4 linked regions of the Anolis sagrei genome follow. The protein of the gene in region 4 purifies or fractionates together with the protein of the main gene of each other region. This does not show direct contact. Links are inferred from orthologs where the notes say so. Each region holds a gene or a part of one and is shown on either strand. Other genes may lie near its edges. The genes, in order: POLR3GL, POLR3B, POLR1D and POLR3D.

Region 1 (7,460 bases), on a different chromosome or scaffold from region 4:
ATACATACAATATATTATATTATTAGCATAGTAAGGTAAAGGTAAAGGTAGTCCCCTGACATTAAGTCCAGTCATGTCTGACTCTAGGAGTTAGTGCTCATCTCCATTTCTAAGCCGAGGAGCCGGCGTTGTCCATAGACACCTCCAAGGTCATGTGGCCAGCATGACCACATGGAGCGCCGTTACCTTCCCGCCAGAGCAGTACCTATTGATCTACTCACATCTGCATGTTTTCGAACTGCTAGGTTGGCAGGAGCTAGGGCTGACAGGGGAAGCTCACGGCGCTCCCCGGAATCGAACCTGTGACCTTTCGGTCAACAAGCTCAGAAGCTCAGCAGTTTAACCCACTGTGCCACCGGGGGGCCTTATAAACATAATAATAATAATAATAATAATAATAACATGATGTCTGGATGTCATCGGGGTTTGTGAAAATATTATATACATAATAATAATAATAATAATAATGAAATTACATATTTAAATTAAATTCAGACTGCATTAATTTATATAATAATAATAATAATAATAATAGGTAATAGAATAAGTAATATAATAATATATTTACAATAATATAATAAATATATAGAATATATAATAATATGTAATATATAAGTAATAGAAGAAATAATATAATAATGTAATACTAATGTAATGATAAATATATCTAATATATAATAGAAATTGCAAACGCATTTCATTGAATGCATTTTTAATATTTGAGTAATATAGCAAAGTAATATTATTTACCCTTTAATTTAAACATTTAACTCCTTAATATTTAGGAAACATTGCAAAATAGAACTTCATTATTTAATTTAACATTTAATTCCATGCATTTAAAACTAATAATAATAATATTGCAAAAATAAGGTCGGTTTGATTTCCTTTGCAGCAAAAAGAAAACTCACGTTACCTAAATATTATGAATAATCAAATATTTTTTGCAATGTGTTGTCGAAGGCTTTCAAATCAAACCGATCTTATTTTTTGCAATATTTCCTAAATATTATGAATAATCAAATATTTTTTGCAATATTTCCTAAATATTATGAATAATTAAATATTTTTTGCAATGTTTCCTAAATATTATTAATAATTTAACTCCTTAATACTTAGGAAACATTGCAAAATAAAACTTCATTATTTAATTTAACATTTAATTACTCAAATATTTCAGAATGCATTAAAATCAATTGCAAATGCATTTAATTGAATGCATTTTTAATATTTGAATAATATAATTTTATAATATAATTTATATATAATATATATAATGTATTGTCGAAGGCTTTCATGGCTGGAATCACTAGGTTCTTGTGGGTTTTTTTCGGGCTATAGGGCCATGTTCTAGAGGCATTTCTCCTGACGTTTCGCCTGCATCTATGGCAAGCATCCTCAGAGGTAGTGAGGTCTGTTGGAAGTAGGAAAAATGGGTTTATATATATCTGTGGAATGGCTGGGGTGGGGCAAGGAGCTCTTCCCTGCTGCAGTTAGGTGTGAATGTTTAGCTGATCACCTTCATTAGCATTTGAAGGCCTGCCTGAGCCTGGGAAAATCTCTTGGTGGGAGGTGTTAATCTGTGCCTGGTTTTTTTCCTCTCTGTTGTTTAGCTGTTATAATTTTAGAGTTTTTTAATACTGGTAGCCAGATTTTGTTCATTTTCATGGTCTCTTCCTTTCTGTTGAAATTGTCCACATGCTTGTGGATTTCAATGGCTTCTCTGTGTAGTCTGACATGGTGGTTGTGAGAGTGGTCCAGCATTTCTGTGTTCTCCAATAATCTGCTGTGTCCAGGCTGGTTCATCAGGTGCTCTGCTATGGCTGACTTCTCTGGTTGAAGGAGTCTGCAGTGCCTTCCATGTTCCTTGATGCGTGTCTGGGCAATGCTGCGTTTGGGGGTCCCTCTGGAGACTTCTTGTCCACAGCTGCATGGGATACAATGGTAGACTCCTGCAGAGGTGAGAGGATCCCTCTTGTCCTTTGCTGAACGTAGCATTTGTTGGATTTTCTTGGTGGGTTTGTAGATTGTTTGTATGTTGTGTTTCCTCATCAGCTTCCCTCTGCGGTCAGTGGTTCCCTTGATGTCTGGCAGGAACACTTTTCCTCTGGGTGGATCTTGGTCTTGACTCTCGTGGCTTCTTCTCAGTGGTCTTGCAGCTCTTCTGATGTCTGAGGTGGCGTCTCCATTGGCCTGGAGAGCCCAGTTGAGGTGGTTCAGTCCATCTTGGAGGAGGTGGGCTTCGCAGATTCTTTTTGCACGGTCTGCCAAGGCTTTCATGGTGCTTCTTTTTTGACTTGGGTGATGGTTGGAGTTTTGATGTAGATATCTATCTGTGTGTGTGGGTTTTCTGTAGACGGTGTCACACCTAGCTCTAGCAAGGAAGAGCTCCTTGCCCCACCCCAGCCATTCCACAGATATATAAACCCATTGTCCTAATTCCAACAGACCTCACACCTCTGAGGATGCTTGCCATAGATGCAGGCGAAACGTCAGGAGAAATGCCTCTAGGACATGGCCCTATAGCCCGAAAAAAACCCACAAGAACCTAATATATATAATATTATTTAATATTATTTATCATTTATTATTTAATATTATTTATCATTTATTATTTAATATTATTTATCCTTTAATTTAAATATTTAACTCCTTAATATTTAGGAAAACATTGCAAAATAAGACTTCATTATTTAATTCAACATTTATTTCCCATGCATTTAACAATAATAATAATAATAATAATAATGCAAAAATAAGGTCGGTTTGCTTTCCTTTGCAGCAAAAGAAAACTCACGTGACCCGGAAGGAGCGGCTGAAGAGGCTTGCCCGGGGAACGTTCGAAATGGGCGGGGACTTCTTTCCAGGCGGCCAATGGGAGCGGAGATCCAGGGAAGGGGCGTGGCCGGGGCTTTCTCTTGTGAATGAAGAGTGGGCGGGGCTTCGGCCTGCCTTTGCCAGCAGTGGGAAGAGGCCTCTTTCCACGCATGCGCAGAATTGATTCCTGGGTTTCTCTTTGTAATAAGTCACTTTGTTTCCTATTTATATTTTTAAATGATATACTATAAATAAACAAATAATATCTGTTCAAATAAATAAAAATAATAGATAATAATCTATCCCTAATCATAATAATATATTAATAATAATATATTATTAATAATATATAATAATATATTATATTATTATATATTATATTATTAGAATACTTAATAATATATTATATTATTATATATTATATTATTAGAATACTTAATAATAGATCATAATAATTTATTATTATATATTAACAAATAATATCCAAATAAATAAAATAATAGATCATAATAATGTATCCCAAATCATAATAATATACTATTGATAATATATAATATTATTGATAATATATGATAATATATTATAATAATATATTATTATAATACATAATAATATATAATAATTATTATTACATATTATTATATATTATAATAATATATTATTATATATTAATAATACTAATATATTGCAATAATTACAATATATTTAAAACCAAAATAATTGAATATAAAATGTTAAAAATCTGCCCCAAATACTAATAATAATGAATATATTAATCATAGAATCCTAGAATCAAAGAGTTGGAAGAGACCTCCTGGGCCATCCAGTCCAACCCCATTCTGCCAAGAAGCAGGAATATTGCATTCAAATCACCCCTGACAGATGGCCATCCAGCCTCTGCTTAAAAGCTTCCAAAGAAGGAGCCTCCACCACACTCCGGGGCAGAGAGTTCCACTGCTGAACGGCTCTCACAGTCAGGAAGTTCTTCCTCATGTTCAGATGGAATCTCCTCTCTTGTAGTTTGAAGCCATTGTTCCATTGCGTCCTAGTCTCCAGGGAAGCAGAAAACAAGCTTGCTCCCTCCTCCCTGTGGCTTCCTCTCACATATTTATACATGGCTCTCATCATCTCTCCTCTCAGCCTTCTCTTCTTCAGGCTAAACATGCCCAGCTCCTTAAGCCGCTCCTCATAGGGCTTGTTCTCCAGACCCTTGATCATTTTAGTCGCTCTTCTCTGGACACATTCCAGCTTGTCAATATCTCTCTTGAATTGTGGTGCCCAGAATTGGACACAATATTCCAGATGTGGTCTAACCAAAGCAGAATAGAGGGGTAGCATTACTTCCTTAGATCTAGACACTATGCTCCTATTGATGCAGGCCAAAATCCCATTGGCTTTTTTTGCCGCCACATCACATTCCTGGCTCATGTTTAACTTGTTGTCCACGAGGACTCCAAGATCTTTTTCACACGTACTGCTCTCGAGCCAGGACTCATTGTCCCCCATTCTGTATCTTTGCATTTCGTTTTTTCTGCCAAAGTGGAGTATCTTGCATTTGTCGCTGTTGAACTTCATTTTGTTAGTTTTGGCCATTCATCTCTCTAATCTGTCAAGATCGTTTTGAATCCTGCTCCTGTCCTCTGGACTATTGGCTCTCCCTCCCAATTTCGTGTCGTCTACAAACTTGATGATCCTGCCTTCTAGCCCTTCATCTAAGTCATGAATGAAGATCCTGAGCAGGACCGGGCCCAGGACGGAACCCTGCGGCACTCCACTTGTCACTTCTTTCCAAGATGAAGAGGAAGCATTAGTGAGCACTCTCTGTGTTCGTCCACTTAACCAATTACTGATCCACCTCACCGTAGTTTTGCCTAGCTCACATTGGACTAGTTTCCTTGCCAGAAGGTAATACAGTAATAATAATAATAGAGTTCGCCTGTGACACCCGTTGGAATTGGTAGAAAATAATAATAATAATAATAATAATAATAATAATAATAATAATAATACATGGGGAGTGTGTCCCTGTTGGTTCTGCTGGACCTCTCAGCGGCCGTCAATCGTGGTATCCTTCTGGGACGCCTCAAGGAGATGGGTCTTGGAGGGACTGTTCTTCAGTGGCTCCGGTCCTTCCTCGAGGGTCGATCTCAGAAGGTGTTATTGGGGGACACCTGTTCAACCCCACAACCATTGTCTTGTGGGGTTCCTCAGGGTTCAATACTGTCTCCCATGTTGTTTAACATCTACATGAAGTTGGGGGAGATCATCTGGAGTTTCGGGGTGTGGTGTCATCTGTATGCGGATGATGTCCAATTCTGTCACTCCTTCCCACCTGCTACTAAGGAGGCTGTCCAGGTCCTGAACTGGTGCTTGGCCGCTGTGACGGTCTGGATAAGAGCGAACAAGTTGAAACTGGATCCAGACAAGACAGAGGTCCTCCTGGTCAGTTGCAAGGGCGAACAGGGCATTCCTAGAGAGGTCATAAGTGTATAGAGCAAATGGACGCAGCGTCATGGAAAGCTAGAGGTGTGGACTAGTACTGATAACAGCAGTTCGTGTGTTCGCAAAAGAGGTGTGGACTAGTACTGATAACAGCAGTTCGTGTGCTCACAATGTTACGATCGGATGGTGAGAAGCAAGTTTTACGATGTGCTGACTGTTAAGTAGCTTCTAATGTATACAGCTGTAAAAATAAAGTAGTTTATAGCCTAAGGTGGCCGTGATTGATCGTGTTCCTGCCTTCCTGTGCGCCCGATTTCACTGACAGACTTGGGGGGGGGGGGTGATCCTGGACTCATCGCTGAGCCTGGAACCCCAAGTTTCGGCAGTGCCTGGGAGAGCATTCGCACAATTAAAACTTGCAACCGTACCTTGGGTAGTCTGACTTGGCCACAGTAGTCCGCACTCTGGTTACATCCCGTTTAGACTACTGCAACACGCTCTACATGGGGCTGCCTTTGAAGACTGTTCGGAAGCTCCAAATGGGCCAACGGGCGTCAACCAGGTTACAACCAGGAGCAGCACTCAGGGAACACACAACCTCTCTGTTGCACAAGCTCCACTGGCTGCTGGTGTGTTACTGGGCACAATTCAAAGTGCTGGCTTTAGATACACACACATACACATCTGCCTTATTATTATTATTATTTGAAACACAACAAGATGAGTCGACAGCAGACACTCTGCTGGCTGTTGAATTGGATCCCACGTCGGACACTTCCCAATTATTATTATTATTATTGAACTGAGTATTGGGATATTATTATGGGATGTTTCCTCCCATTGCAAAGCCTGATTTATTCCCTTCATCTTGCAATACACACACACAAACACACACACACACATCTGCCTTATTATTATTATTATTATTATTATTATTATTATTATTATTCTGAGTATTGGGATATTATTATTATGGGATGTTTCCTCCCATTGCAAAGCCTGATTTATTCCCTTTATCTTGCAATATATATATACACACACACAAATACATACACACATACACATCTGCCTTATTATTATTATTATTATTATTATTATTATTATTATTATTATTGAACTGAGTATTGGGATATTATTATGGGATGTTTCCTCCCATTGCAAAACCTGATTTATTCCCTTCTTCTTGCAATATATATATATATATATATATATATATATACATACACACACACATACACACTTGCCTTATTATTATTATTATTATTATTATTATTATTGAACTGAATATTGGGATATTATTATGGGATGTTTCCTCCCATTGCAAAGCCTGATTTATTCCCTTCATCTTGCAATACACACACACAAACACACACACACACACACACACACACATCTGCCTTATTATTATTATTATTATTATTATTATTATTATTATTATTCTGAGTATTGGGATATTATTATTATGGGATGTTTCCTCCCATTGCAAAGCCTGATTTATTCCCTTTATCTTGCAATATATATATACACACACACAAATACATACACACATACACATCTGCCTTATTATTATTATTATTATTATTATTATTATTATTATTGAACTGAGTATTGGGATATTATTATGGGATGTTTCCTCCCATTGCAAAACCTGATTTATTCCCTTCTTCTTGCAATATATATATATATATATATATATATATATATATATATACATACACACACACATACACACTTGCCTTATTATTATTATTATTATTATTATTATTATTATTGAACTGAATATTGGGATATTATTATGGGATGTTTCCTCCCATTGCAAAGCCTGATTTATTCCCTTCTTCTTGCAATACACACACACACACACACACACACACACACATACACACCTGCCTTATTATTATTATTATTATTATTATTACTGAACTGAGTATTGGGATATTATTTTGGGATGTTTCCTCCCATTGCAAAGCCTGGTTTATTCCCTTCATCTTGCAATATATATAGACATACACACATACACACACACACACAAATCTTGCATCTTGGGAAGTGTATTAGTAGTAACATTAAATTGGATGTAAAAAAAATAATTTAATAAAATAATAAAATATTATTATTTAATAGTTCGTATCATTTAAAAAAAAACCTGAAAATAATACACATTTAATAATAATAATAATAATAATAATAATAATAATAAT
Region 2 (7,775 bases), on a different chromosome or scaffold from region 4:
AAGTACTTTGTGTCATCTGTAAGCCGCCCCAAGCCCCTTTGGGGAGATGGCATGGGATATAAGAATAAAGTTATTATTATTAGAATTATTTGGAATATAAGAATAAACTTAATCAGCAACTATTTTAACCCAAACAAAAAGCCTGAATTATAATGATGGGTTGAAATTGCTAATAATATTTATGTGAGGAAGCGTTAATGCCACCGCTTGTCTCCAAAATTATGTGAAGAAGTCTTTATCCCACCAAATGGGATTACCAAAAATATAAGGAAGTCCCTAGACTGCTATTAAATTAAACTGCCACCAATAAAATGTAAAGACGCTGGTCTTAAAGTCTCTATTTACTCCTATTTGCGTTGTGAGGTAACTTTGGTAGAGTGGAATACACCGAACATAAAATCAATGGAGGAGGCAGGTTTAAAATAACAAAGAGAACAAGTTTATTATTAACAAAGCGTAATTGTTGTAATATTGAGATGTTGAACTTGGCACATGCTTGTTGGTTACAATATGGCTTGGCTGTGATACATTCAGGCTTTAGATGTTACAATTCTTATAAACTCCTTCTACAGTGAAGTGCTTTATTATTTCAGTGTTCCTAATTGTGAACATTCACACTGTTTGTCCTATACCGGATCAAACCACTGAATCCCCAGTCTTCCACTACTGGCGATCCTAAAACCCCCTCTGTTAGATTCTTTTTACTCAAGCAATCTAACGAGGTTTCCCTTCAGCTACCTTGCTGAAGAAATATTCACAATCACTAAAACTAACTGAATGTACTGGCTCCATAAGCAGAACTGAGTTTTCCCCAAAGCCATGCAGTGGTTCTCAACCTGGGGTCCCCAGATGTTTTTGACCTACAACTCCCAGAAATCCTAACAGCTGGTAAACTAGCTGGGATTTCTGGGAGTTGTAGGCCAAAAACATCTGGGGACCCCAGGTTGAGAACCACAATTAGTGGCACATATAATTCTGGAATGTGCACTGTGGCATCAGAGCTCTCAGGCAGAGAAAGCGAAAAACCTCACAAATCCCAGAAATCTACAGCATTCATATCAGTTAAAAATACTATCAAAGTGCTATAATTGTGCAGTGTGGCTATATTCTTAGAACCATTTATCTGAGGAACAAGTCACACTTAACTTATGACTTCATCACGTTAGAGAAAAAATCCACTTAAAATTCTGCCTCCTGCAGAATTCTGGAGTTTGTAGTGAGGCTGTTAAAGGCCCCTCCCTAAACTACAAACCCCAGAATTCTACAGGAAACGGATTTTAAGTAGATTTTTTTTCTCTAGTGTGATTAGGCCCTCAGTGGGATTTACTCCTGAGTATATACATATTGAGTTGCACTGTGTAGTTGATTTATTGGGAAATAAAAATACCTCTATTGCAGGCCTGGGCAAACTTGGGCCCTCCTGGTGTTTTGGACTTCAACTCCAACAATTCCTAACAGCCTCGGCCCTTTCCTTTCCACCTACCTGCGTGACCGCATTTCCGTATACGAACCCACACGATCCCTTCGTTCATCTGGTGAGGCCCTGCTCACGATCCCACCAGCATCACAAGCGCGATTGGTGGGGACGAGGGACAGGGCCTTCTCGGTGGTGACCCCACGAATCTGGAATTCCCTCCCCAAGGACATCAGTCACTCCCCAACACTGGTAGTCTTCAGAAAGAGCTTGAAAACATGGATGTTCCAGTGTGCTTTCCCAGATTAAGGAATCCCAAGCAATTGTCCCTAATGCACTTTATGAGAGAGTTAGAATTGTCTGCACACCCTTCTATTCCCAAAATATCCATTCTACCTCACCTGGACAGGCCCGAATTTTTAGAATTTTAACTATTACATTTGGCCCTGCCACAGGTTTTTAACAGTGCTGTGCTTTTGTTATTGTTTTATTGCTTGCTTATTTATTGTTGCATTGCATTGTTGTCTGTTGTGTTTTTGTTAATGATGTACTTTGGGCTCGGCCTCTTGTAAGCCGCACCGAGTCCTGCGGGAGATAGTAGCGGGGTACAAATAAAGGTTTATTATTATTATTTCCCCCTTCAGCCACTTAATGAAGGGCCCTGAGGCTGGAAGTTGAAGTCCAAAACACCTGGAGGGCTCAAGTTTTCCCATGCCTGCTCTATTGGCTTCCTCGAAAAAGGACAAGGGGCCATGTGGTGCATCTATACTGTAGAACTAAGGGAGGAGGGAGCAAGCTTGTTTTCTGCTTCCCTGGAGACTAGGACGCGGAACAATGGCTTCAAACTACAAGAGAGGAGATTCCATCTGAACATGAGGAAGAACTTCCTGACAGTGAGAGCCGTTCAGCAGTGGAACTCTCTGCCCCGGAGTGTAGTGGAGGCTCCTTCTTTGGAAGCTTTTAAACAGAGGCTGGATGGCCATCTGTCAGGGGTGATTTGAATGCAATATTCCTGCTTCTTGGCAGGGGGTTGGACTGGATGGCCCATGAGGTCTCTTCCAACTCTTTGATTCTATGATTCTATAATGCAGTTTGACACTACTTTAACTGTTATGTCTCCATGCTATGGAAACACAAACGTTTTCTTGTACACGGTATTTCTTCTGACAAAGAGGGCTGGTGCCTCACCAAACTACAAATCCAATGATCAGTTAAAGTGGTGTCAAGCTGCGTTATTTCTCAAGCATGGCTGCATCCAGGAAAGGAGCACCAGAGGTTGTTGTGGCTCTACTACTGCGCATGCGCACTCTAGGGCTGAGTGAGCAGCCAGGCATGCCTTGACGCTTAGCGCATGCGCACCGTGGACTTCGGAAGCCACATTTACCCCTATCCCTTGGGCAGAGCCGCTTCTTTCTTTCCTTCGGATGCTCTCGCCATTCTCACTCACCTCCACCGTGTTTACAGGAGCCGCCAGCTGCTCCGGAGTGGAGGCTCCCAGCTCTGCCACCAGATCGTCCATGCTGGAGAGAGAAAAACAACCGGCAACAGCCAGAAAGTTGGCGCATGCGTAGTCCCCGCCTTCCACAGAGCTATGCGTGTGCGTCGCTGAAACCTGACCGGAAGTGCAACTGAGGACGTCCAAAAAGGTTCCGCCACGTTTCCTAGAAGCCTTTATTTATTTATTTATTTATTTATTTATTTACTTTGCTTATATACCGCTGTATCTCAAGTCCGAAGGCGACTCACAGCGGTTCACAAACAGTAAAAACAGTAGAAACAGCAGTGGTTCCATACAACATATAACAATTGACTTAACACATTATCCATAAATTACCAATAAGCAATTACAATGCACAATTATTACAAAAAACAACCGTACCCAATCTTCTCATCATCCAAGCGTAGTCCAGGTTCGTCGTCCATTGTTCCATTCCTATGTTCCATTACCAGATTGCACTAAATTACTCAAACGCCTGCACAAACATCCAGGTCTTCAACTTTCTTCGGAATGCCATGAGAGATGGCGCCAGCCTAATGCCTGTAGGAAGGACGTTCCACAGCCGAGGAGCCACCACCGAGAAGGCCCTATCTCTCGTCCCTGCCAACCGTGCTTGAGAAGCCGGCGGGATCGAGAGCAGGGCCTCCCCGGAAGATCTCAAAGTCCTGGTGGGTTCATAGGCCGAGATGCGGTCGGAAAGGTATCTTGGGCCAGAACCGTTTAGGGCTTTATAGGCCAATGCCAACACCTTGAATTGAGCCCGGTAGCAAATCGGCAGCCAATGGAGCTGGCGCAACAGGGGGGTTGTGTGCTCCCTGCGCTCCACTCCGGTTAGAATCATGGCTGCCGCACGTTGGACTAACTGAAGCTTCCAAAACTCTTATTTACAGCTAACTATATTGTTAAAAGAATTTCCTATCCGAATGGTTTCCTTCTGCTCTACCTGAGGGCTTCTTTCTTGACAGTATTTTGAAGAAAGCAGAAATTCCAGACAAGAAACAGTCAGGGCCTCCCAACAAAGGATTCACCCCAGGCAGGAAGCAACCAGGTTTTGAAGCTGCAAGGCCATTCAGTGCTAATCAAGGTGACTAATTTTATTTATTTATTTATTTATTTATTTGGGGTGCTTCTACCCCGCCCTTCTCAACCCCCTAGGGGGGGACTCAGGGCGGCTTACAAAAGGCACAATTCGATGCCCAACAACTCACAAAATACAATATACAAAATTACAATATAACGTCAACAATTATAACTAATTAAAACAATAAAAAACAATACAGTTGCAGCAATAAAATCATCTTGCGGTCAATGTTCGCCAATTCATAAATTCATGATCCGTCTAGCATCGTCATTGTCCTTTCCTACTTTGGTCGTCATTGTATTTTGTCCAACTGCCAGCTTACCCAAAGGCCTGGTCCCACATCCAGGTTTTTAACTTCCTTCTGAAGGAGAAGAGGAATGTTGATGACCTAATCTCCCCAGGGAGTGCATTCCACAGGCGAGGGGCCACCACCGAGAAGGCCCTGTCCCTCATCCCCACCAGTCTCACTTGTGATAAAGGTGGGGCCGAGAGCAGGGCCTCCCCAGAAGATCTTAACCTCCGAGGTGGGACGTAGAAGGAGATATGTTCGGACAGGTACGCTGGGCCGGAGCCATAAAGGGTTTTGTAGGTCAAAACCAGCACTTTGAATTGTGCTCGGAACTGGATTGGCAGCCAGTGGAGCTGAAACAGCAGGGGGGTGGTATGCTCCCTGTATGACGCTCCGGTGAGTAATTGCAACATTCCCACTTGCCTCAAGCAGACGAGAGTTCTTTCTCCCACCCTGGACATGTCACAGACATAAATCCTACTTGCCTAGTTTCCAACAGACCTCACAACCTGTGAGGATGCCTGCCATAGATGTGGTGAAGCGTCAGGAGAGAATACTTCTGGAACATGGTCATACAGCCCAGAAAACTTACAGTAACCCAAAGCAGAAATTATTGCAACAGAGGATAGAAATGTTCTTGGAATTATTTGGATTGGGGAATATCAGTGCAGTTATGTGTAGTTCAAAGTATTGTAATAATTTTTAATTATTTTAAGGGATTTTAATTTTCTGCTTCAATTCTATTTTAATATTTGTATGTTGTAGTTTTTGTTTGTTGTAGTTTATGTAAAGCCGCTTTGAGTCTTCTCAATATAATAACAATAATAAAGTATTTAAAACTCGTGTCTTGTGTTTAATCTCTGTTCTGTGCATTTTAATATGTATTTTATAGAAATATATTTTATTATGTGCATATACAGAATGTTTACAATGTTTTTGTGTTTTAACTATGCTGTAACCTGCCTCTAGGAGCCCCTGGTGGCACAGTGAGCTGCTGAACTTGCTGATGAAAAGGTCACAGATTCAAATCCGGGAAGCGGCATGAGCTCCTGCTATTAGCCCTAACGGCGCTCCATACAGTCATGCTGGCCACATGACATTGGAGGTGTCTATGGACAACACCAGCTCGAGCACCAATCCCCAGAGTCGGACATGAGCTCCTGCTGTTAGCCTCAATAGTGCTCAATGCAGTCATGCCGGCCACATGACCTTGGAGGTATCTACGGACAACATCGGCTCTTCGGCTTAGAAATGGAGATGAGCACCAATCCCCAGTTGGACACAACTAGACTTAATGTCAGGGGAACACCTTTACCTTTAACCTGCCTCTAGCCTCAAGGAGAGGCGGGTAAGAAATAACATTATTATTAATATTGTTATTAATGTTGTCTCAGATAAAAATGGGAAATTATAATAATACAGTAACACCACTTACCAACAATTTGCAGAATTACTTATTGGAATAATAGCCTGTATATTTTCCCCAGTTTTGAGGGAAATCTGACTCTCAGATTTCATTTGTGACTGTGCATTTTTTTGGATTTTTAGTTAGTTATGATTGCAGGCAACTGCTTTTTGCTTTTTTCCTAATTAACTGAGAGTGGGATGAAAAATTAATTTGACAGGTGAATCACTTCCCATTGCTGAATTTCTGTGCCAAAAAAGCTGGACCTGTTTGGAGGAAATATAACCAGCTCCCCACATTTGTTGGGGCTTGCAAGTGAAGTGGAAACTACAGCAGCGTACCATGCGCAGTGAGTCTAGAGCTTATTTAAGAGCAATTAAGGTGGCAGAAAAATCATTTATTGCCACCAACATTACATCCACAAAGACTTGCCCAATAGAACTGTTTCGAATGGTAAGGGGGCTTCTAAACTCTTTCCGGACCAATCGGCAGTTTGTTGTTAAGAGTTTGCTAGGTTCTTTGCAGATAAAGTCACTCTGATCCGCTCTGACTTACACACCAGTATTAATGCAGTCTCCGTGAATATGAATGAGGCATCTGCTTGTCCTTGTTTAATGGATTCTTTTCAGCTTGTTTGGCCCGAGGACATGGACAAGATCTTAGGAGAAATGAGGACAACCACTTCTTTTTTGGACCCTTGCTCCAGCATGAATGGAGGAAATTCATTAAAGTCACACTGGAGCACCTAAATCTTCCTACAAATAACACTTTTAATCACATTTCTGAATAATCAAATATGAAGAAGCCAGAACTGCAAATGTAGAGAGCATGCAGTAGTTTTAAGTGGTGGTTCAAACAGAAAAGGTACCATAATTTGGGGTCTTCTAGAGCACTGCTTCTTAAACATATAGGGTCCCCTTTGCTCAATATTGGGGTCACAAAAATTTGGCAACAATACCACCCATTTACATGAATCTGTTAGCAACAACCTACAGTGTTTACAGTGGACTCTGCAAAAAATGCTTCAGCTGTTCTCCAGCCTGTTTCACAAGCCTTTGGGACAGTGCAATAGGGCAATAATAGGAAACCCACTCCACTAACTGGAGCCATCATGGTGTTCTGAGATGGTTTTTAAGCAACTGATTTTAAAGTAGATATAACTGTTTGTAGTGTTTGTGTATATTTATAGTTATTTTATGTTCCAGCATGGAATGCTTGCCGTGTATACGTTGTGAACTTCCCTGAGTCCCCTTTGGGGTGAGAAGGGTGAAATATAAAGATTTCAAATAAATAAATAAATACTTTAAAAGTCAAACGGAATTTAATTAATACAGATATCAACACAAAAATAAGCCAGTTACATAACAATACCTTGCTTTCATTGAGCCCTGGTAGGGCTAGGGCGAAGGGAATGGAGTTAAACATATTTGGATAATTTCACCACGCAACATGCAAGAGGGACAAATTAATTGTACTGATTAATCTGAACATTGAAAAGATTATGAACATTAGAGGACATGTACAGATTGCTAAATGGACATACCATGCTATATAAAATGCCCTTTTCAAGTCATAGATAAAATCACAAAATTATTGCTTCCTCATAATATTCTTCCTGAAAGTTTTCCAAAACATACTGAATTCAGACTAAGTTGTTTGAAATTTATCACTGTTGAAATCAGTAGGACCCAACTATGACAACTTTGCTTGAATTCAACCAAAGCTAAGAAAAGTTACTTCTTTGGACCAAAATGCCAATAATTCCTTTGCCACCATGCCCAAAACACCTGTGAGATTCTGTGAGTAGTACTCTTTTTTTTAAAAAAAAAAGTTAAGGTGTCTATCCATCTCATAGCTTCTCAGGTAATAAGAAACTGTTGGAAAGTATTTTTTTACTGCACTTCATCTCCCTGCATTCATAGTGTTTTTTAAAAATCAAAGGAATACATACACACACACAACCCCACAACAAAATCATTACAGTTAAGTTTCTCATAGATATTTATAACATCACCCATCCATATCAAGAACCAAAACATTTTAGACAATTCATAGTTTCCTTTTAAATAAAATAACACAATAGCATTC
Region 3 (6,891 bases), on a different chromosome or scaffold from region 4:
ATCACACCACAGAGTCGGACATGACTAGATTTAATGTCAGGGGGAAACCTTTACCTACGCTGTGAGCTACTTTGGGTCCCATTAGGGAGAAAAGCAGGACAAAAATAAAGATATATAATCATCATCATCATCTTCACTACTGAGTTAATGCAGTTTGACACTGCCATGGCTCAATGCGATCACCCCTTCTGAGTCTCCCTTCAGACACATTACTCCATTTATCCATCTCACCCAGGGTTTTATAAATTTTACCCTTTGAATTTGGCCCGTCCACTGTGCGCTAATTTTTCTACCATTTTATTTTGCATTGTTTTATTGCATATTTTGTTATTGTTTTGCATTTTATTTTGTTGTTATTATTTGCTTGTTTGTATTTTATTTTGCTTGATTGTAATTCTTGGGCTTGGCCACTTGTTAGCCACCCTGAGTCCCCTTTGGGGAGATGGTGGCAGGGTATAAATAAAGTTCATTATATTATTATTATTATTATTATTATTATTATTATTATTTGAAACACAACAAGATCACTCTGTCGGCTGTTGTATTGGATCACATGTCGGACACTTCCCAAGTGTCTAGGACTGTGTGATGTATCAGCGAACAATGCGTGCAGATCCCAGTAAGGTGGCCTTCTGCAGCTGGCAGATGGTAATTTTGTCAGCGCCAATAGTATTTAAGCGCAGGCCAGGCAATTATCTCAGGCTCATCTTGTAAGTACAAAGGCGAGAGCCTTCTCCTCTGTGGCCCCCTGACTCTGGAACTCATTGCCCGGTGAGATTAGGAAATTTTCAAGGAGGATCTCAAAACCTGGTTTTTCCAATGCGCTTTTGGAGAGTAGCCATATTATCATACACAGTTGCTTCCCCTCAATGGTTTTTGTCCCCAGAGTATATTTCCACACCTGAATGAAGGTCTATATTTATGACCCTGTTCCTTTACAAGTTTCTCCCCCACGAACAATCTACTCTATCCCTATCTCATCCTGATTTTAGTATTTTTAGTATCAAGTTTTTATCTTGCACATGCGGCCCACTCATTGTTATGTTATTTTATTTTACGGTGTATGATTTTGCTTTATTGTCTTTGAACTCATATGTTGTATGTATTTTACTGTGTTATTATTGTATTTTGGTTTTACTTTATTGTAATATGTTGTTGGGCTTGGCCTCATGTAACCCGCCCCGAGTCCCCAGTTTATTATTGTTATTATTGTTATTGTTATTGTTATTATTATTATTATTATTATTATAAGGTCTTTAGGCACTGCACCCAGTGTGCCGATCACTACTGGGACCACCTTTACTGGCTTGTGCAAGAGTCTTTGCAGTTCGATCTTTAAATCCTCATATAGTTTCTGCTATTCCAGTTGTTTCTCTTCAATCCTGTCACCTGGGATTGCAACATCATCATCATCATCATCATCATATTATTATTATTATTATTATTGTGGTTTTGCATGGTCTTCTTTGCCAAAGAGTTCTTAGGACAGTGGTTCTCAACCTTCCTCATGCCGCGACCCCTTAATACAGTTCCTCATGTGGTGGTGACTCCCAACCATAAAATTATTTTCCTTCCTACTTCATAACTGTCATTTTGCTGCTGTTATGAATCGTCATGTAAATATCTGATACACAGGGTGTATTTTCATTCACTGGACCAAATTTGGCACAAATACCCGATACGCCCATATTTGAAAACTGGTGGGGTTGGGCGGTTGATTTTGTCATTTGGGAGATGTAGTTGCTGGGATTTATAGTTCACTTGCAATAAAAGAGCATTCTGAACTCTACTTGGCACACAGAACTCCCATGACCAACAGAAAATACTGGAAGGGTTTGGTGGGCATTGACCTTGAGTTTTGGAGTTGTAGTTCGTCTACATCCAGAGAGCACTGTGGACTCAAACAATGATGGATCTGGACTAAACTTGGCAAGAATACTCAGTATGCCTAAATGTGAACACTTGTGGACTTCGGAGAAAATAGACCTTGACATTTGGGAGTTGTAGGTGCTGGGATTTATAGTTCACCTACAATCAAAGAGCATTCTGAACTCCACCAATGATGGAATTGATCCAAACTTGGCACACAGAATTCCCGTGACCAACAGAAAATACTGGAAGGATTTTGGTGGGCATTGACTTGAGTTTTGGAGTTGTAGTTTGCCTACATCCAGAGAGCACTGTGGACTCAAACAATGAGGGATCTGGACTAAACTTGGCACGAATACTCAAGATGCTCAGATGTGAATACTGGTGGAATTTGGGGAAAATAGACCTTGATATCTTGGGAGTTGTAGTTGCTGGGATTTATAGTTCACCTGCAATCAAAGAGCATTCTGAAGCCCACCAATGACAGAATTGGGCCAAACTTCCCACATAGAACCACCATGACCAACAGAAAATACTGTGTTTTCTGGTGATCTTTAGTGACCCCTCCAGGGTCCCGACCCCCAGGTTGAGAACCACTGTCTTAGGACCTCAGCAAACTATAACCCCTATGATTCCCTGGCAGTTAAAGAGATGTCAAACCGCACTCATTCTAGATACACCTTCATAGTTGTGTGAATCCCTTCCTCCTGAAACAGCACCTACCATTCGCAAGTGGTCAGACCCTGCTTAGCTTCCAAGACCTGATGGGATAAATATACTGCAATAGTCATAATAATGGGGTGCGGTCCCTTTAAGATACCGAGGCCCTAAAGATCGGGCGACTAAAGGCCGCTGGGAAGCCTCTAGTAGGACCTTCTTGGCGTTCCCAGTCAAGGCCAAATCCCTCGGCTGCCAAGGGAGCAGCAACCGCCAGGCCTGCCCCTTCCTCCGCGCAGGCCTCACCCACCTCTCCAGCTCTGCGTCTTCCGCCATGGCGGCGGTTGCGGGCTGAGGGGTCTCCGTTCACTCTCACTCTCGCTCGCTCGCTCGCTCGCTCTCTCAGGCCGCCGCCATCATGGCTCTCTTTCTCGCTGCTTCCTGCGACGCAGCAGCCAATGGGAGGCGGAGCTCGCGACGAGGCCAAACAGCCGCTCGCGAGGACCCCGGAAAGGGGCGGGGCCTCTTGGCAGAAGAAGCCCCGCCCCCAGCGCTGCCTGCGCCTGAAGTTCCTGTCTGGGCCCACAAGCCTGAATCATAGAATCACAGAGTTGGAAGAGACCTCATGGGCCATCCAGTCCAACCCCCTGCCAAGAAGCAGGAATATTGCATTCAAATCACCCCTGACAAATGGCCATCCAGCCTCTGCTTAAAACCTTCCAAAGAAGGAGCCTCCACCACACTTCCGGGCAGAGAGTTCCACTGCTGAAGGGCTCTCACAGTCAGGAAGTTCTTCCTAATGTTCAGATGGAATCTCCTCTCTTGTAGTTTGAAGCCATTGTTCCATTGCGTCCTAGTCTCCAAGGAAGCAGAAAACAAGCTTGCTCCCTCCTCCCTGTGGCTTCCTCTCACATATTTATACATGGCTATCATATCTCCTCTCAGCCTTCTCTTCTTCAGGCTAAACATGCCCAGTTCCCTAAGCCGCTCCTCATAGGGCTTGTTCTCCAGACCCTTGATCATTTTAGTCGCCCTCCTCTGGACACATTCCAGCTTGTCAATATCTCTCTTGAATTGTGGTGCCCAGAATTGGACACAATATTCCAGATGTGGTCTAACCAAAGCAGAATAGAGGGGTAGCATTACTTCCCTAGATCTAGACACTATGCTCCTATTGATGCAGGCCAAAATCCCATTGGCTTTTTTTGCCGCCACATCACATTGTTGGCTCATGTTTAACTTGTTCTCCACGAGGACTCCAAGATCTTTTTCACACGTACTGCTCTCGAGCCAGGTGTCACCCATTCTGTATCTTTGCATTTCATTTTTTCTGCCAAAGTGGAGTATCTTGCATTTGTCACTGTTGAACTTCATTTTGTTAGTTTTGGCCCATCTCTCTAATCTGTCAAGATCGTTTTGAATTCTGCTCCTGTCCTCTGGACTATTGGCTATCCCTCCCAATTTGGTGTCGTCTTAGAGTCATAGAGTCATCTCCACTGGGAGAGTGACAACAACAACAACGCATTATTATTATTATTATTATTATCGTCATTATTATTATTTATGTGTTGCCTGCCTCACCTCTTGAAGGCAGGTTTCAACATAATTAAAATTCCTATATACCAGGCCTGGGCAAACTTGAGCCCTCCAGGTGTTTTTGAACTTCAACTCCCACCATTCCTCCAACTCCCAACATCTTAACAGCATCCACCCGAACATCCAGTTCACTATGGAAAAAGAAAACGAAGGAAGACTGCCTTTTCTAGATATCCTAGTCATCCGTAAACCAGATCAACAATTGGGTCACACCGTTTACAGAAAACCCAGACACACAGATAGATATCTACATAAAAACTCCAACCATCACCCAAGTCAAAAAAGAAGCACCATTAAAGCCTTGGCAGACCGTGCAAAAAGAATCTGTGAACCCCACCTCCTCCAAGATGAACTGAACCACCTCAACTGGGCTCTCCAGGCCAATGGATACTCCGCCTCAGACATCAGAAGAGCTGCAAGACCAAGAACAAGCCACGAGAGTAAAGATGAAGATCCACCCAGAGGAAAAGTGTTCCTGCCATACATCAAGGGAACCACTGACCGCATAGGGAAGCTGATGAGGAAACACAACATACAGCTGTGGACAAGTCTACATAGGGACCACCAAACGCAGCGCCCAAACAAGAATCCAGGAACATGAAAGGCACTGCAGACTACTCCAACCAGAGAAATCAGCCATAGCAGAGCACCTGATGAACCAACCTGGACACAGCATTTTGAGAACACAAAAATGCTGGACCACTCTCACAACCACCATGTCAGACCACACAGAGAAGCCATTGAAATCCACAAACATGTGGACAATTTCAACAGAAAGGAAGAAACCATGAAAATGAACAAAATCTGGCTACCAGTATTAAAAAATTCTAAAATTGCAACAGCAAAAACAGCAGAGAGAAAAACAGGCAGGGACATCTAATCACCTTTCAAGAAGAGTTTGCTCCAGGCACAGTCAGCCCATTGTATGCTAATCAGGTGGTCAGTTGAAAGATTCACACCTAGCCCAACTTACAAAAGCCCTTTGTCTCACCCTGATCATTCCACAGATATATAAACCCCCTTTTTTCCCAGTTCCAGCAGACCTCACCTCTGAGGATGCTTGCCATAGATGCAGGCGAAACGTCAGGAGAAATGCCTCTACAACATGGCCATATAGCCCGAAAAAACCCACAAGAACTGAGTCCCACCATTCCTATTTGTGATTTGGACATTTTAATTTTTAATTTAATAACAATAATATCAATAACAACAATAATAAAAAACTTTATTTATATTCCAGTCTTTATCCCCGGGGGGACTCAGGGCAGATTCACAAAAGATTTATTTATTTAAACTTTATTTATATGCCGCCCTTCTCACCCCAAAGGGGCTGCAGAGCAGCTTACAAGATATATATACATACAATATATTATTAGCATAGTACAATGTCAGTATTATATATTACTATATTGTACTATGCTATAATATATTGTAATATAATTAGTAATATTACATGTAATATAAATATATAATTATATTATTAGTATTATATTGCAGTTCATTATAATATTATAAATATATGTATATACAATATATTACATTACATTATATTATATTATTAGCATAGCACAGGAGACAAGGTGGAACTGTCCCCTGGCTCCCTCTCTCTTCACTCTGGCCCAGAGCGGCAGTTGGAGCTGGGGGGAGGGGTCCCCAACTGATGAATATGCAGGAGGAGACAAGGTGGAACTGTCCTCTGCCCCCCCCTCCTCACTTTGACCCAGAGTGGCAGCCGGTGCTTGGGCGAGGGGTCCCCAAATGATGACATGCAGGAGACAAGATGGAACTGTCCCCTGGCCCCCTCTCTCCTCACTTTGACCCCGAGCAGCAGTCAGCGCTGGGGGAAGGGGTCCCCAACTGATGACATATGCAGGAGACAAGATGGAAGTCCCCTGCCCCCTCCCCCGCCCCAAGTGTGTTGTCAAAGTGTTGTCAAAGTGTGTTGGCAGTGTGTTGTCAAAGGATTTATTGGCTGGAATCACTGGGTTGTTGTAGGTTTTTCGGGCTGTATGGCCATGTTCTAGAAGCATTCTCTCCTGATGTTTCGCCTGCATCTATGGCAGGCATCTTCAGAGGTTGTGAGGTCTGTTGTAAACTAGGAAAATTGAATTTATATATCTGTAATGTCCAGGGTGGGAGAAAGAATCCCTGGCTGTTGGAGCTAGGTGTGAATGTTTCAATTGGCCACCTTGATTGGCATTTGATGGCCTAACAGGATTTTTTTTAGATGTGACTTGTTATTGCCTGGGGGGAATCCTTTATTGAGAGGTGATTCCTGATTGTTTCTTGTCTGGAGTTCCCCTGTGTTTGTGTGTTGTTCTTTATTTACTGTTATAATTTTAGAGTTTTTTTTTAATACCGGTAGCCATATTTTGTTCATTTTCATGGTTTCTTCCTTTCTGTTGAAATTGTCCACATGCTCGTGGATTTCAATGACTTCTCTGTGTCATTGAACAACTAGGGGTCCAACATTTCTGTGTTCTCAAATAATATGCTATGTCCAGGTTAGATCATCAGGTGCTCTGCTGTGGCTGACTTCTCAGGTCGAATTAGCTTGTAGTGCCTTTCATGTTCCTTGATTTGTGTTTGGGCACTGCATTTCGTGGTCCCTATGTACACTTGTCCACATCTGCATGGTATACGGTAGATTCCTGCAGAGGTGAGAGGATCCCTTTTGTCCTTTGTTGAATGTAGCACTTGTTGGATTTTCTTAGTAGGTCTGTAGATAGTTTGTGTTTTCTCACCAGGTTCCCTATGCGGTCAGTGGTT
Region 4 (7,207 bases):
GGAGGACCCATTAAGATGGTCCGCCCCAGGAGGCTTATGGATCCGAATGGATTCCTGACGGCTCTTGGGGATTTTCCCGCCACCTCGGTAGGTGACCATGTCGAGGCCTTGGTCGCTCTCTGGAATGGGGAGATGACCAGGGCAATTGACAGGATCGCTCCGGAACGTCCTCTCTCGAGTAACCGAGCTAAACCAGCTCCTTGGTTCACTGAGGAGCTGGCAGCGATGAAGCGAAGGAAGAGGGTACTAGAGAGCGTGTGGCGCTCAGACCCAAGCGAGCCAAATCGAACACGGTTTGTGTCCTTTCTAAGGGCATATGCCGCGGCAATAAAGGCCGCAAAGAAAACTTTCTTTGCGGCTACTATTGCGTCTGCAAAAAACCGTCCGGCGGAGTTGTTTCGGATTGTCAGAGGTCTTTTAACTCCCCCTACCTCAGGTGGGAGCCCTGACAATTCGGCCACGCGCTGTGAAGCATTTGCTCGGTTCTTTGCAGACAAAGTCGCTTTGATCCGCTCTGGGCTGGACGCCACATTAAATGCAGTCTCTGTGGATGTGACACAAGCACCTGCTTGTCCTATTTTGTTGGATTCTTTTCAGTTTGTGAAGCCCGAGGATGTGGACAAGATACTTGGAGGAATGAGACCCACCACGTCCATCCTAGACCCCTGCCCATCCTGGCTTCTGAAGGAGGCCAGAGGGGGATTGGCCGAGTGGGTAACGGTGGTGGTTAATGCCTCCCTTCGGGAAGGCAAGATTCCAGCGAGCCTAAAACAGGCTGTTATAAAGCCGCTGTTGAAGAAACCATCATTGGATCCCACTAAATTTGACAACTTTCGGCCTGTTTCCAATCTTCCCTTCTTGGGCAAAGTCATGGAAAGCGTGGTGGCCTCACAACTCCAGGTATTCTTGAGAGACACGGATTATCTGGATCCGGCACAGTCTGGTTTCAGACCGGGACATGGTACCGAGACGGTCTTGGTCGCCTTAGTGGATGATCTGCGCCGGGAGCTAGACAGGGGGAGTGTGTCCCTGTTGGTGCTCCTGGACCTCTCAGCGGCCTTCGATACCGTCGACCACGGTATTCTTCTGGGGCGCCTTGCAGAGATGGGTCTTGGGGGCACTGCTTTGCAGTGGCTCCAGTCATTTCTGGAGGGTCGCACCCAGAAGGTGTTATTGGGGGACTCCTGTTCAACACCACAGCCGTTGACCTGTGGGGTTCCTCAGGGCTCCATCCTGTCCCCCATGCTGTTTAACATCTACATGAAGCCGCTGGGTGAGATCATCCGGAGTTTCGGGGTGCGGTGTCATCTGTACGCAGATGACGTCCAACTCTGTCACTCCTTTCCACCTGCTACTAAGGAGGCCGTCGAAGTCCTGAACCGGTGCCTGGCCGCTGTAATGGTCTGGATGAGGGCGAACAAACTGAAATTAAATCCAGACAAGACAGAGGTACTCCTGGTCAGTCGCAAGGCCGAGCAGGGTATAGGGTTACAGCCTGTGCTGGACGGGGTCGCACTCCCCTTGAAGGCGCAGGTTCGCAGCTTGGGTGTGACCCTGGATTCGTCGCTGAGCCTGGATCCCCAGGTTTCAGCGGTGACCAGGGGAGCATTTGCACAGCTTAGGCTTGTGCGCCAGCTGCGCCCGTATCTTGGGAAGTCTGACTTGGCCACGGTGGTACACGCTTTGGTCACATCCCGCCTCGACTACTGCAACGCTCTCTACGTGGGGCTGCCCTTGAAGACGGCCCGGAAGCTCCAGCTAGTCCAGCGCGCGGCAGCCATGTTGCTAACAGGAGCCGGGCGCAGGGAGCATACAACGCCCCTGCTGTCCCAGCTCCACTGGCTGCCGATTTGCTACCGGGCCCAATTTAAGGTGCTGGTGTTATCCTACAAAGCCCTAAACGGTTCCGGCCCAAAATACCTTGCAGACCGCATCTCGGCCTACGAGCCCACGAGGACCTTGAGATCATCCGGGGAGGCCCTTCTCTTGGTCCCACCTGCCTCACAGGCACGTCTGGCGGGGACGAGAGAGCGGGCCTTTTCGGTGGTGGCCCCCCGGCTGTGGAACGCTCTCCCTGCTGAAGTTAGACAGGCGCCCTCCCTTATGGCCTTCCGTAGGAGCCTGAAAACATGGCTCTTTGAGAGGGCTTTCAATTGAGTGCTATTCATTGGAAATGATGACCGGAATGGATCACGACTATGAAACTGATATGTCCCCATGATATGACGAAGCGGATTTTTAGTATAAGTATATGTTATGTAGTAGTAGATTGTTGTGTACTGTTTGATTTATTGTAAACTGTCTTTTCCATGTTATTGTTCACCGCCACGAGTCGCCCTAGGGCTGAGAGTGGCGGTCAATAAATGCAAGAAATAAATAAATAAATAATAAATAATATGCCCAAATGTGAACACTGGTGGAGTTTGGGGAAAATAGAATCTTGACATTTGGGAGTTGTACTTGCTGGGATTTATAGTTCACCTACAATCACAGAGCATTCTGAACCCCACCAACGATGGAATTGGGCCAAACCTCCCACACATGAACCCCCATGTGGGCCACAGCAACGCGTGGCAGGGGACGTCTAGTAGATTATATTATGTTATATTAATGACTGGCCATACACAATGCCCCTGGGCCTCTTCATAATGTTCTCCAGCCTTCTGCTGGCCCACCAGTATCAAATACTCACTGAGCCGCCATGTTTTTCGCTTTGACTCCAACTCCCAGAAGCCTCAGCCACTCCGTCCAATGAATAGGAATTCTGGGAGATGAAGTCCAAAACACCTCGCAAGGCCGCACACCGCCTCCAGGCCTCTGAAATGCAAAGCCAGGCTCCCACGGCTTTTAGGCCCGCTCCCCACAGAGGCAGGCACGCCCCACTTTCTCCCCGGACCCACCCGAGACGGAGCGAGGCTTCTTTCTCCGTTTCCAATGGCGCCGCTTCCCTCGAGGTCTCTCTCTCCGGCACACAGCCACGGTGCAGATCGCGGAGTGCGCATGCGCGGCAGGGCCTCCGCCATTTTTGAACCTGGCACGGTCCGCCCCTTTGCCATCTCCCCCATGTTTCCGAAGGAGGAAACTGCGAATCCGCCATATTTGTTTAAGGCTATCCGCCATTTTTAAACCTGGCATGGTCTGCCCCTTTGCCATCTCCCCCATGTTTCTGAAGGAGGAAACTGCGAATCCGCCATGTTTGTTTAAGGCAATGTTTCCGGGTTTGTTTGTTTTCACCACCCCAAGAAAGGAAGACACTGTTGAATGAATGGAGTTGATGCCAGTTTCATTGATTGGCACAACTCAATGCTATGGGGTTTGACAAATCTTTATTATTATTATTATTATTATTATTATTATTATTATTTCTTTTTATTTATATTATTATTATTATTATTATTATTATTATTATTATCTTGGGCCTTCTCTGCCTAAGATGCTGAGGCTTCATCAAACTATAACTCCCACAACTCCATAGCAGCACTGAGCCTTGGCAGTTAAAGTGGGCTCAAACTGCATTAATTCTACAGTGCAAATCGGGCATGGGCAAACATCCTGAGCTCTGAGGATGATTACCTGGGAAGGAATCCCACGGGAGCCTTGCAGCGCACCCAAATACCCGGGAGTCACTCTGGGCCGTGCTCTGACCTACAAGAAGCACTGCCTGAACATCAAGCAACAAGTGGGTGCTAGAAACAATATCATACGAAAGCTGACTGGCACAACCTGGGGGTCACAACCAGACACAGTGAAGACATCTGCCCTGGCGCGATGCTACTCTGCTGCTGAGTACGCATGCCCAGTGTGGAACACATCTCACCACGCTCAAACAGTGGATGTGGTTCTTCATGAGACATGCCGCATTATCATGGGGTGTCTGCGCCCTACACCACGGGAGAAATTACACTGCTTAGCCGGTATTGCACCACCTGACATTCGCCGGGAAGGAGCAGCCAATAGTGAAAGGACCAAGGCAGAGACATCTCCAGTTCATCCCCTGTTTGGGTATCAGCCAGCACGTCAACAACAAATCTAGAAATAGTTTTTTAAGATCTACAGAGACACTCATTGGAATACCACAGCAAGCAAGAGTCCAAAAGTGGCAGGCTCAAACCCAGAACCTCAACCAATGGCTGATACCAAATGAGAGACTCCCCCCTGGGCACACAGAAGAAGACGGGGTGACATGGAAGGCGCTGAACAGACTGCGCTCTGGCACCACGAGATGCAGAGCCCACCTTCAGAAATGGGGCCACAAAGTGGAATCCTCGACATGCAAGTGCGGAGAGGAGCAAACCACTGACCACCTGCTGCAATGCACCCTGAGCCCTGCCACATGCACAACGGAGGATCTTCTTGCGGCAACACCAGAGGCACTCCAAGGGGACAGAGACTGGTCAAAGGACATTTAACCAACTACCAAACTCACAAGTTTTGTATTATGTCTGTTTGCTTTGTTCTGTTAGAAATGTAATGTAATGGACTGCTTGCTCTGACACGACAAACAAACAAACCACCCCAAGAAAGGAAGACACTGTTGAATGAATGGAGTTGACGCCAGTTTCATTGATGCTATTAGACAACTCAATGCTATGGGATTTGACAAGGCTTTTTAATATTATTATTATTATTATTATTATTATTATTATTATTATTATTTATTGGGGCCTTCTCTGCCCAAGATGCTGAAGCCTCACCAAACTATAACTCCCACAACTCCATAGCAGCACTGAGCCTTGGCAGTTAAAGTGGGTTCAAACGGCATTAATTCTACAGTGCAGATCAGGCATTGGCAAACTTTGGCCCTCCTCCAGGTGTATTGGACTCCAACTCCCACAATTCCTAAGAGCCTACCGGCTGTTAGGAATTGTGGGAGTCGGAGTCCAAAACACCTGGAGGGAGGGCCAAAGTTTGGAGACTTCATAGAATCATAAGAGTTGGAGGGGACCCCCAAGGGCCATCCAGTCCAACCCCCCTCTGCCATGCAAAAGAAGCACAATCTAAGCACCCCCAAAAGATGGCCACCCAGCCTGTGTAATAATAATAATAACAACAACAATAATAATAATAATAATAATAATAATAGGAGCAACCCCAGGGACCATCCAGTCCAACCACCTTCTGCCATGCAGAAGAAGCACAATCAAAGCACCCCCAAAAGATGGCCACCCAGCCTGTGTAATAATAATAACAACAACAACAACAACAACAACAACAACAATAATAGGAGCAACCCCAGGGACCATCCAGTACAACCCCCTTCTGCCATGCAGAAGAAGCACAATCAAAGCACCCCCAAAAGATGGCCACCCAGCCTGTGTAATAATAACAATAACAACAACAACAATAATAATAATAGGAGCAACCCCAGGGACCATCCAGTCCAACCCCCTTCTGCCATGCAGAAGAAGCACAATCAAAGCACCCCCAAAAGATGGCCACCCAGCCTGTGTAATAATAACAACAACAATAACAACAACAACAATAATAGGAGCAACCCCAAGGACCATCCAATCCAACCGCCTTCTGCCATGCAGAAGAAGCACAATCAAAGCACCCCCAAAAGATAGCCACGCAAATAATACTAATACTAATAGGAACAACCCCAGGGGTCTTCCAACCTTAATAATAATAATCCCAGGCGACAGCTGGATTGACGAGAAGCAGCTGGAAAAGCTGACACGATATGAGGATTTAAAGATCAAACTGCAAAACTCTAGCACAAGCCAGTCAAGGTGGTTCCAGTGGTGATCGGCACACTGGGCACAGCGCCGCAAGACCTTGGCCTACACTTAAACACAATCGACGCTGACAAAATTGCCATCTGCCAGCTGCAAAAGGCCACCCTTCTGGGATCTGCATGCATTATTCACCGATACATCACACAGCCCTAGAAACTTGGGAAGTGTTCGACGTGGGATCAAATACAAAAGCCAGCACAGTGATCTTGTTCGCCATGTACTAATCTTGTTATGTATCTCTAATATTAATAATAATAGGAGCAACACCAAGGGTCATCCAGACCAACCCCCTTCTGCCACGCAGAAGAAGCACAATCAAAGCACCCCCAAAAGATGGCCACCCAGCCTGTGTAATAATAATAATAATAATAATAATAATAATAATAGGAGCAACACCAGGGACTATCCAGTCCAACCACCTTCTGCCATGCAAAAGAAGCACCATCAAAGTATCCCCAAAACATGATCACCCAGCCTGTGTCATAATAATAATAATAATAATAATAATAATAATAATAATAGGAGCAACCCCAGGGACCATCCAGTACAACCACCTTCTGCCATGCAGAAGAAGCACAATCAAAGCACCCCCAAAAGATGGCCACCCAGCCTGTGTAATAATAACAATAACAATAACAACAACAACAACAATAATAATAGGAGCAACCCCAGGGACCATCCAGTCCAACCGCCTTCTGCCATGCAAAAGAAGCACAATCAAAGCACCCCCAAAAGATGGCCATCCAGCCTGTGTAATAATAATAATAACAATAACAACAACAACAATAATAGGAGCAACCCCAGGGACCATCCAGTCCAACCACCTTCTGCCATGCAGAAGAAGCACAATCAAAGCACCCCCAAAAGATGGCCACCCAGCCTGTGTAATAATAACAACAACAATAACAACAACAATAATAATAGGAGCAACCCCAAGGACCATCCAATCCAACCGCCTTCTGCCATGCAGAAGAAGCACAATCAAAGCACCCCCAAAAGATAGCCACGCAAATAATACTAATACTAATAGGAACAACCCCAGGGGTCTTCCAACCTTAATAATAATAATCCCAGGCGACAGCTGGATTGACGAGAAGCAGCTGGAAAAGCTGACACGATATGAGGATTTAAAGATCAAACTGCAAAACTCTAGCACAAGCCAGTCAAGGTGGTTCCAGTGGTGATCTGCACACTGGGCACAGCGCCTCAAGACCTTGGCCTACACTTAAACACAATCGGCGCTGACAAAATTGCCATCTGCCAGCTGCAAAAGGCCACCCTACTGGGATCTGCATGCATTATTCACCGATACATCACACAGCCCTAGAAACTTGGGAAGTGTTCGATGTGGGATCAAATACAAAAGCCAGCACAGTGATCTTGTTCGCCGTGTACTAATCTTGTTATGTATCTCTAATATTAATAATAATAGGAGCAACACCAAGGGTCATCCAGTCCAACCCCCCTTC

The links.
Region 1: the proteins of POLR3D (region 4) and POLR3GL purify together in Homo sapiens (co-immunoprecipitation; 4 studies listed by BioGRID and IntAct, counting the BioPlex papers as one, with this or other methods). This does not show direct contact. The link is inferred for Anolis sagrei from reciprocal best matches to the Homo sapiens genes POLR3D and POLR3GL.
Region 2: the proteins of POLR3D (region 4) and POLR3B purify together in Homo sapiens (affinity purification with mass spectrometry; 8 studies listed by BioGRID and IntAct, counting the BioPlex papers as one, with this or other methods). This does not show direct contact. The link is inferred for Anolis sagrei from reciprocal best matches to the Homo sapiens genes POLR3D and POLR3B.
Region 3: the proteins of POLR3D (region 4) and POLR1D purify together in Homo sapiens (affinity purification with mass spectrometry; 6 studies listed by BioGRID and IntAct, counting the BioPlex papers as one, with this or other methods). This does not show direct contact. The link is inferred for Anolis sagrei from reciprocal best matches to the Homo sapiens genes POLR3D and POLR1D.

The regions. Positions count from the first base shown.
Region 1 is NC_090032.1:21,351,634-21,359,093, forward strand, and holds the start of POLR3GL (DNA-directed RNA polymerase III subunit RPC7-like), read right to left. Parts: upstream 3,004-7,460; 5' UTR 2,990-3,003; coding exon 2,798-2,989; intron 1-2,797. UniProt on the Homo sapiens protein: DNA-dependent RNA polymerase catalyzes the transcription of DNA into RNA using the four ribonucleoside triphosphates as substrates. Specific peripheric component of RNA polymerase III which synthesizes small RNAs, such as 5S rRNA and tRNAs.
Region 2 is NC_090025.1:169,715,432-169,723,206, forward strand, and holds the start of POLR3B (DNA-directed RNA polymerase III subunit RPC2), read right to left. Parts: upstream 3,015-7,775; 5' UTR 2,934-3,014; coding exon 2,862-2,933; intron 1-2,861. UniProt on the Homo sapiens protein: Catalytic core component of RNA polymerase III (Pol III), a DNA-dependent RNA polymerase which synthesizes small non-coding RNAs using the four ribonucleoside triphosphates as substrates.
Region 3 is NC_090023.1:31,194,187-31,201,077, reverse strand, and holds the start of POLR1D (protein POLR1D), read right to left. Parts: upstream 3,020-6,891; 5' UTR 2,863-3,019; coding exon 2,837-2,862; intron 1-2,836.
Region 4 is NC_090027.1:1,456,604-1,463,810, forward strand, and holds the start of POLR3D (DNA-directed RNA polymerase III subunit RPC4), read right to left. Parts: upstream 3,013-7,207; 5' UTR 2,901-3,012; intron 2,856-2,900; exon of another isoform or gene 2,616-2,855; intron 1-2,615. UniProt on the Homo sapiens protein: DNA-dependent RNA polymerase catalyzes the transcription of DNA into RNA using the four ribonucleoside triphosphates as substrates.